Linked DNA regions of Schizosaccharomyces pombe. Changing the gene in region 1 together with any one later gene gives a genetic interaction. Each region holds a gene or a part of one and is shown on either strand. Other genes may lie near its edges.

The links. A genetic interaction does not mean that the proteins touch.
Region 2: of ark1 (region 1) and pic1, extra expression of one rescues a mutant of the other (dosage rescue), as found in Schizosaccharomyces pombe (one study listed by BioGRID).

Annotation. Positions count from the first base shown.
Region 1 is NC_003421.2:139,481-143,607, reverse strand, and holds ark1 (Aurora-B kinase Ark1), read right to left. Parts: upstream 1,979-4,127; 5' UTR 1,947-1,978; coding exon 879-1,946; 3' UTR 570-878; downstream 1-569. Other genes in the region: peptidase Atp23, read left to right, coding at 1-314, 381-388; serine racemase Sry1, read left to right, coding at 3,415-4,127. UniProt on the Schizosaccharomyces pombe protein: Component of the chromosomal passenger complex (CPC), a complex that acts as a key regulator of chromosome segregation and cytokinesis.
Region 2 is NC_003423.3:2,767,363-2,773,038, reverse strand, and holds pic1 (INCENP-like protein Pic1), read right to left. Parts: upstream 3,832-5,676; 5' UTR 3,769-3,831; coding exon 3,611-3,768; exon of another isoform or gene 3,568-3,610; coding exon 669-3,567; 3' UTR 501-668; downstream 1-500. Other genes in the region: single-strand DNA-specific 5'-3' exodeoxyribonuclease Exo5, read right to left, coding at 1-155; PAN complex subunit Ppk26, read left to right, coding at 5,349-5,439, 5,488-5,582, 5,642-5,676. UniProt on the Schizosaccharomyces pombe protein: Component of the chromosomal passenger complex (CPC), a complex that acts as a key regulator of mitosis. Has a role in sister chromatid cohesion and condensation.

The DNA of each region.
Region 1 (4,127 bases):
GGCAGAGAATACAATTGCCCATGAAATGATACACATGTTTGACGACCACAGGTTTGAAGTCGATTGGAACAATTTGAGACATCAGGCTTGTTCAGAAATTCGTGCTAGTAGTATGAGTGGTGAGTGTCGCTGGACCAAAGAACTTCGTTTTGGTAACATTAAAACTTTTCGGAAGCATCATCAAGAATGCGTCAAACGACGAGCTACTATCTCCGTACAAGGTAACCCGAATTGTAAAAGCAAAGAGCAAGCAGAAGCAATCGTTGAAGAAGTGTTCAATTCCTGTTTCAACGATTTCAGGCCTTTTGAAAAAAGTACGTTCGCTGTAGTTTTGTTCATTCATTTTTTTCTTCGTACTAACTATTCATTCTTTCGTCTAGTCTATTGAAATACCAGTTTACAAAAGTCAGATAGTTATTATGTCAACTCCCTTCCCCTCCCATTTTATAATATCCCGTACAGCATTTACGTTGGCTTTTAAAAAATATCGAAGCATACTTCTCACTTGTTATGCAACTTATTATGTGCTTGGCGTACTTTATCTTTATACATATTGTAACAGTTTTTTTGGAAGTTATTATTAGCTTGGCTAAAGTGATGATAAATTTTTAAATAGTTTTTATTAGGAAAATGAATGTCTTCTAAGTGATTTCGAAAAGAAAATCTGGAAAACGATTAGTTTATGGTGGTGATCCTCTATTAAATGAGTGTGTTATATTACATATAATTAAACCTCCATAACCCCCAAAGATCAAAAAAGTTCTGAAGGAATATAGTGAGCTGCGCGATTAAAAAGAGCGCTGAAACAAAAAGAAAGTAGTAATGCAAAAATGTAGTGAGAAGAAGGAAAAATTAAATAAAAAGTACCAAGATGGCGGTTAGGAAGATTCAGAACTTTTGCGAGTCCATGAATCTTTATATTTTACAATCCAAGGGTGCCTCATAACTTGTTCCAAACTCATTCTTTTTTCAGGATTATGCTGTAATAGACGAGAAATAAGATCCCGTGCATCAGGAGGAACAAAGCTTGGAATTTTTAAGTCAACTTTGGCGATACGCTTATACGTAGCTGAATGACCAGACATGTCCTCAAAAGGCGGTGCTCCCACCAAAAACTCATAAGTTAAGACACCCAACGACCAGAGATCAACTTTTTCGGTATGCTCTTTTCCCTCCACCATTTCAGGTGGTAAGTAATCTAATGTACCACATAAAGTGGTACGACGGTTAGAAGGTGCATGGACACTCCAACCAAAGTCAGAAAGCTTGATTTCTCCATCAATTCCTAATAAAATGTTCTCAGGTTTGATATCACGGTGTATTACATGCTTCTTATGCAAGTAGGATAAGGCGTTAGCCATTTGGAAGATATATTTAGACGCAACTTCTTCTGAGAATCGTTTTGCACGACGCAAGTGTTGATACAACTCACCCCTGCCAGCAAACTCTAAAATCAAATAAATCCTTTTTTCATCATGAAAGTGCCCATATAGCCGTAAAATGTTTTTATGGCGAAGATTTGATTGAATCTCAATTTCTCGTCGAACTTGCTTTTCTATCTTTGACTGGACAAGTTCAGACTTATGCAATGTTTTGAGAGCCACAATAAACCCGGTCTTCTTCTCTTTAGCTAGATATACCCTTCCAAACTTTCCTTTCCCTAAGGGTTTTCCAATTTCAAACATTCCAATATGAAATTCTCGCCATTGAGGACCAGCTGATGAAGGTACTCCAGCAATTGGCTCTTCTATCTTACGAAGGGAAGAATTGAACTTGCTATTTGAAGTCCGTTTGTTTTCCTTCCCATTTGCTAGACTAACATTATTTACTTGTCGTTGGTTTGATACTGCAAGTCGTAAAAGCTGTTGTCTCCCAGGATTAGCTGTGGTTGATGGAGTTGACACAGAAAGGCAATTCAAAGAATCTGCCAACTTTGAATCTGACATTATTTCGTAAAAAAACGCTGATGTTGGCTTTTGACAAGTTCGTCCAGAAGTAGGAGCGTTGTTGTTTACATTTTGAGGTAACACCATGTTTACTGAGTCTTAACACAGCCTGCTATTATCTTCCTTTCTTTCAAACTAAGAAGGAGGCTCTGATTCCCGTTGTTATTTATGAATACTCAAAGGGTGTTTCAAAGATTATTTACATGGAAATTATGAACGAATTTATTTAGCATACGAACCCACTTCGATTCTACAAATGTTATTAAAAAAAACGACATGTATCGTTCTCAACAAAATAAATAAAAGGAAAACAAACAGAATATTCTATATCATCCCAATACCACAGGCTTAAAAGTATATTTAGTATCTGTTTTTTATTCTTTTCAATGTGTCCACTGTTTGTTTACCGAATAACGATATACAGTGAACTATTCAATACTAGTTATAGAATACTTACAATATTAACGCTTCAGAAGGAGACAGTGCTAACTAACAAGAAAAGAAAAGAATTCAGTAAGTAGAGTAACACCAAAAGAAAAGGACCGAAAAGTGAATTAACAATTGTAGTTGATAATAAATTATCGTATTTCTCAATCAATTTAGAAAAGTACACGATAAAAAATCTCCGTCAGGGGGAATCGAACCCCCGCCGCATCGGTGAGAGCGATGAATCCTAGCCACTGGACCATGACGGATTATATAATTCTGCGATTGTTTTAGCATTAATTATCAGCTTTTTCATTCTTGATTAAGATTTCTCATAAAAAAAAAGAACTCTTTAGTAACGAGTTATATGCATAGTAATGTGAAAGTCAAAACACCGTTTGTTGGATATTTATTTCTAAACTGATTTAAGCTGCAGTCAAGTCCATTGCTGAGCAGATACAGTTTACAGAAATTAACGAGGCTTGGTTCAAACTATTGATATATTTAACCAATGCTGCATGACTGTTCATCACGCTAAAGGTAGAAAGACGTTACTATTCTGGCACTCAATGAGTCGAAACAATTGTTATACATGCATTTTCGTTATATTCTATGACACTCTTAACAGACTGTTTCTACATCTTGAAATTCTCACTATATAATGTTAACATTTATTACAGAGGAATACTACAAATAGTGATTAGCATTATACTCGCTATGCTACATGTCACTGTTTTATGAACTAGCAAGTTGGAGCTCCGTCCTGCTGTTTCATTTCCATTTGGTTCTAATTGTGTAAGTGTCTTTACAATTGTCGCCTATAAATTCGTTTCCGAGTTGGGCTCGCATTTTTTGACCTTCTTTTCATAGTAAAGATAAGATAGCGTTACAGTTGACGGTTCTCTCTATAAATGATCGAGAGCTCTGCTTGATTTGACATCTCTCATTGTCGTTAAATTCTTCAGTTTGCATTTTAAGACTGAATAGTTTACAGAATAAAAGGATATTTTCACTCTTTTTAAATTTTTAAAAAACTACGACAATGAGCGATAACCTGGTGCTTCCTACCTATGATGATGTTGCTTCAGCTAGTGAGCGAATTAAGAAATTCGCCAACAAAACCCCAGTACTCACGTCGAGCACAGTAAATAAAGAGTTTGTGGCAGAAGTGTTTTTTAAATGTGAAAATTTCCAAAAAATGGGTGCTTTCAAATTTCGCGGTGCCCTTAATGCTCTTTCTCAACTCAATGAAGCTCAACGTAAAGCTGGTGTTTTGACGTTTTCTTCTGGTAATCATGCTCAGGCCATTGCACTGTCGGCAAAGATCTTGGGAATTCCAGCAAAAATCATTATGCCACTCGATGCACCCGAAGCCAAGGTCGCTGCCACGAAAGGCTATGGTGGTCAAGTAATCATGTATGATAGATACAAAGATGATAGAGAAAAGATGGCCAAAGAAATTTCTGAAAGAGAAGGTCTTACCATTATCCCTCCTTACGATCACCCCCATGTACTTGCTGGTCAAGGAACCGCAGCTAAGGAACTGTTTGAAGAGGTTGGCCCTCTTGATGCACTTTTTGTTTGTCTCGGAGGCGGTGGCTTGCTTTCTGGATCAGCACTTGCTGCTCGCCATTTTGCTCCAAACTGCGAAGTTTATGGAGTTGAACCTGAAGCTGGAAACGATGGGCAACAGTCCTTTAGGAAAGGATCTATCGTACATATTGATACACCAAAAACTATAGCCGATGGTGCTCA
Region 2 (5,676 bases), on another chromosome or scaffold:
TCTAGTTTAGAAATTTCCCTGCTTACGAGCAATTGTGGTGGAATGCTCAAAGAATAATCCAATTGGCTAATAGTCAATCTTTGTGTTTCAAGATAGTCCATATAAGAGACTAATTCGCTCAAATCTTCCATCTCAAAATCTTCATATTCTTCCATAGACTTAATGTTTCGTTAGGATGATTTATTCAGGTGCGGGTTACGTTAGTTCACACATTTAATAGAATAATTCTTTTTTTTAAAGTAACCAACCAGACGGTAAAAAAGCTTTACACTAGTTTTATTAAAATGGTGGAACGTAAATGTCTAGTGTAACCAAAACTAGCAATGTAAACTGTGCTAAACTATTGATGATAGAAGTACTTTCACAGTTTCTTTTCGTTCAAAGAAATTAAAACTTTGAACAAGTAGATTAAGTTTCTGGCAATGTCAAACTACGTTTGTTAATGGCTAATGTTATTGCGGCACAAAAACTAATTATCAGCGATGCTTCAATGTCTAAGATGGAGGTCTATTTCATTATAATTGTTATTAGTAGATTCAAAAACCTTTAATCTAATTTAATTTTGTCATCTAACTCTATGCAAATTGTTTCATAAGATAAATTAAAGTATTTCTCTATTAATTTCCCAGTTCTTTAATATACAAAATTCATTTCAAAAATCCAGAACTCTATAAAAAACCCATGTTTTTCTTATAGTTATCAATTTCTGCTTGGGTCAAACGATCTTGAGATGACCAGTCAGCAGAAGAGCTTCTTGGTCGAAATCGAATCTTCGATCGATCCTTCGATCGGAAATACTCATCCATTTGCAGAGGTTTAATCATACCGAAAATTTTGTCTGGATCCCACTTTTGTTGTCGTTTTAATTGCTCTCGTAACTCAGGTGATTCAGCCCACGATGGTAAATTTACCTTTTTCTTATTACCTTCATCATCTGAATCATCCGAATAATCGCTATTTATTTCTGGTAATTCCACAGACGTGTTAGGCGATAGGGATCCATATCCAGGAAAATAATTCGACTTAGGCGTTTTCAGTAACGGTGATTTAGAAGAGGGCTCCTGCATAGACGAGTTCCTACCTTTAGCTGGAGCGTGCATAGAAGCTTTTTCAATAAAAGGTTTATTTGATTGTGAAGTACTAGAAGATGGAAGCTTTCCTTTCATAATACCATTCTGCTTAGTAAAAGGGTTGACGTTGTGATGCATTGTTTTGAATCCATGTTGATTCGTAAGACCGACATTACCATGTACGGGATTCTTATTTTTTTGTGCAGCTATCTTCTTTTTTCGATCTTCATTCTGACTATTAGTGGTCCCTATATCGAAGTTGTTTCTCAAACTACCAACAGAAGGCTGAGTTACAGAAGTAACTGAGTCAGGCTCCATTTTTTTTGGAATAGTTGAATGAAATGCCAATGACATGTCCTCAGCTAGCTCATTCGCAAACCTTTGAGTGGGTTTCGACGTGACGCGTGTTAACCCAGATTTTAGCATATGCCTTGAAGTTGCACCGTTGTCGGTTAACGGTTTCTTCTTTCGTAAATCTTCTTGTCTTTTTAACATATTTGAATGCCATGAAGCATTCACATTTGATGGGTTAGTAACAAGTCTTTTGGTCGTTGGTTTTTCTGATTTTTCCTCAAATGGCTTATTTGAGTGCATGCTTTTACTTGATGGTATAGCATCTGGTTCAGAACGAGGTTTATCGGAAATAGTATGTTCCATATCCCTAATGTTAGATGAATTGGCTGATGTGACAGTTTTGGTCTGACGACTTGGAAATTCGTTGTTTGATAACTCTCGTTCTTTACCATAGAACTTTTTGAAGCGATGAGTTTCGTTTTCAGAAGAGCGGCTTTCCATATTTGAAGCATTTGCTGCTCCATTTTTTGCTTTTCGCTTTTCAGTTTGCTCAAGTTCGCGTTGAGAGGCTGTGGCCACACGAATTGCAATCGGACGTGAATGCGGAGCAAAGTTGTGATCAGAATTTTGACGAGAATCATCATGCAATGGTTCAGATAACTTGTGCAGAGATTTTTCAATAAATTCCTTCTTGGAAGGCGGCAAAGAAGAGTCCGTATTTTCGTTTGCATCCGATTTCAAAGCGTTTGAGCTTGGTCTAGAATTTGAAGAATTAAAATCATTTGACGACTTTCTGGTTGAAAGCCTTGTGAATGTGCTTATCAGGGGGATCTTAGGCGCTTGAGTGATTACAGCATGACTTTTTGCAGGGCTTAAGGAAGACTCGTCGTTTTTATTATTCAGCTTCATTTTAGCAAGGTGCAAATCCTTAGCTGCAGAGTTTTTAGCAGCATCTAAAACTGCATTAATCGGTTTCTTCGTGGGCGGAGTCGAAGGAATTAATCTTTTATTAGAACTTACTTCTTGTATTTTCTGCCTTAATCGTTCGGCACGATCATAAGTTTTCAGTTCATAGTGGTTTTCATTGGAGGCAGTTAGCTCGTTCAATTTAGCAATAGAATCGGGAATTTTGGCTTCAAAAAAGTCAAACTCTTGACTTTTGGCATCACTTCCAGGTTGAGAAGATACAGGTAGTCTCTCTTCATTGGATTTTAATTTGGCCGTTAATGCCTCAGCTTCTACTGCGTTGGATTTATCGAAGGAAGTAATTTCGGGAGGGGATTCAAAAATAGTTGGATGAGGTTTAAGCATTTCATTTTCGACAGACCTTTTTCTTTCCTTGGAAGAAGAAGTAACAGTTTCAGAAGAGAAGGCGACTCCTGAACTTCTTTTACGAGTTTTGTAAGAAGTCGATAACCTAGTAGACGACGTGAGCGATTCCTTGGCTGATAAATCTGTCTTGGCGGGGATGACTGATGAAAGGAATTTTCGAAATTTAGAAGGACTAGAGGACACATTGGTATTTAACAAAGAAGAAGGAGCATCAGAAGTAGTTGAAGGTAGTGCCTTGATAGGTTCATCTAATGAAATTTCAGGATTATTCGTTAAGTTGTCTTTAGTACGCCGGCGATTTAACTGATTTATAAATGAATTAGTTGATTCCACACGACTGTGTAATGATGCAGGTCTTTTCAAAATCTCTTCACGTTTAGGTAAAGTGACAAAAGAATAAGCGGGGTGCTTTTGCTTTGGTAATTTATTAGGACTGTCAGCAGTTTCTGATGGGGAAGGCGAAGTTTCACGAAGAGGAACGTTCCATTCAGTAAAACGACGCTCTACTGAAGTAGGACTAAAAGCTGGCAAATTAGTCGGCAATCTCGTTTCTTTAATAGGAGATACACCACCTTTAGTAGATTTATTAACTATATCATCTTTGACATATTCAGAAGATAGCTTAGTAGAATCCCTATCATCATCAAATTGGGTTTCTGTATTAGTAGCAGTATGTAATTCTTTAGGTTCCTTGACTGTATTGGATTCACCCGACTTATATCCTTCAACAGCAGCTTCCTCAAGCTGATGTTGAATAGATGTTAACCGCATGCGAGGCGTTGGTAACGCACATCGATGTACAGGACTTAAACGAGGAGTGGAGTACTTCTCCTTTATCTTGGTAGGTGTTCTCACTAATTCATATATATCCCTAACCATCTAATTAGCACATATGATAAACAACAAATGCGTACGACTCTAGCTGTAACTTGGAAACTTCAAGCATGTGTTCATTCAACCAGTCCATGGTTTCAGATACAAGGAAGAAGAATTCTTTCATTTTTCCATTAGTGAGTTGTTGGGAGTATTCCAACTCCTTATTAAACCATAGTTCTGACCCATTAGAGCCCATCCTGTTTGGTTACATATAAAGAATGAGCTAGTTGCTGGAGAGTGGTCGGTGGTGGAAGCAATCAAATGTCAACAATATACAACAGTAGTTGTATACCTAAGCTTCCAACTAAATTTATAAACAATTATGCTTTCCCAATTTACAAATGATCAAAAGGTTTATTGTTTTCAAGATTTAAATGTAAATATCAAGTTCCGATGTTATAAACAATTGTTAGGAATATAGACATCGGTTAACGACGAAGAGGTTTTTAACGAAGTAACACTTTAAGCCATACATTTTTTCGAGATGCCGATGCTGATTTTATTGCAGTAATTATTGAGTGGAATAAGCAACCCAATGCATGCAACCTATCGTTCGTTTGATCAGCAGACAGAGTTAACTAGTTTGTGTTCAAATATCTTTCACCATTTGTTTATGTTTAGTATATAGCAAGCGGCACAGACATAAAAGTTTCTATTGAACGGCTACAAGCAATTTGTCATGCTTTATACGCTTGTCATTTATTGGATTTTTTTAATGATTCGATCTACAATATTCACGCATTTTCTCCATTTTTTGTTCACATACTTGCCATAGCTTTTAAAAATAATTTTTCCAATCAGACAGAGATAAATGCCAAATATCATACACTTGTCTTTAAGTTTTCAAGAATGTATTAAAACATGGGTAACCATTCTCAAAAAATTAAAAGCTTATTCAATACAAAATTCACCGTTCTCTTTTCATTTTGAGCTATTTTAACTCAATTAGACTTTTCATTCCTTACTCTGTTTTAGAGGACAATGTAAAGAGAATAGGGTAATAAATATGCTTTTATAATTGACAGTCTGTTATTATTCTTTTTAGCAATTTAAATATTTTTCTGAATTCCTAAAATTTCTTTAATTAATTAAATAAATAATATATACTTTTTTGTCTGACAGATCAAAAAAGGAAGGGTGTCCGAGTGGTTATGGAGCTAGTTTAAGGCACTAGTGCGAAAGCTCGTGGGTTCGAGTCCCACCCCTTTCAGTAATTTTTTATTGCATTTTATAGCAAAACAGGGGAGTGTGAATTTGGCAAGCTGTTAGTTTCTATAGGGAATTTATAACTGCGAACTAAGTTTTCTTACTTGCAATGGCTATATATGGGAGGCCGAATTGCTTGAAAAACATAGCTTTGCATTTGAAACAATTCGCAAAAGTTGGCACTAAGGAAGAAGTTAAGATAAAAAAAATTCAGTTACTTTGGTTTTATGATTTGCAATTAAATTACAGTGATCGCAGAAAGATAGCAGCATTACGAAGACATGTTCAACTGCTACATAACACTTGCTATTGTTAAAGTTTTCGAAATAGTTACTGCCCGTTACATGTAAAGAACAGATAAAAAATAAATTAGAATTACTGTCTTCTCAAATGCTTAAATATTACTACTATGAAATTGTTATATAAACAAAATGTAGCGTTGCAAAGTATTACAGTAAACTTCGTTGTGCTGCATTATTAGTATTGTCCGGGACTTACTGATTCCACGACCTGTAACTAAATTGCTATAATCTCAGACTGTTAGCTTGGGATTGCCTGGAAATTGACAGGATGAGTGTGAGGAAGAATTCTCCTGCAAGCCCAAAGCCAACTTCCCGTTCTAGGGAGAGTTCCAGGTCTCCGTCAGTGACTGATTTGAAAGGTAAATGGAAATTCAAAGCAAAACTTGACTGACCACCATTTTTAATAGACCATTCCAAAGCTAAACGAACATTATGTAGAAATATCTTACTTTATGGATCCTGTAAGCATTCAGAAAATGGATGTGCTTTTCGACATGATGGTGTAAGTATAGGCGTATTCTCTTAACTTCAGAGAAGCTTCTTGCTTACGATTGTTTGTAGCCTTTCATCCCTTCTTCAGAGAATTTGGAGCAATA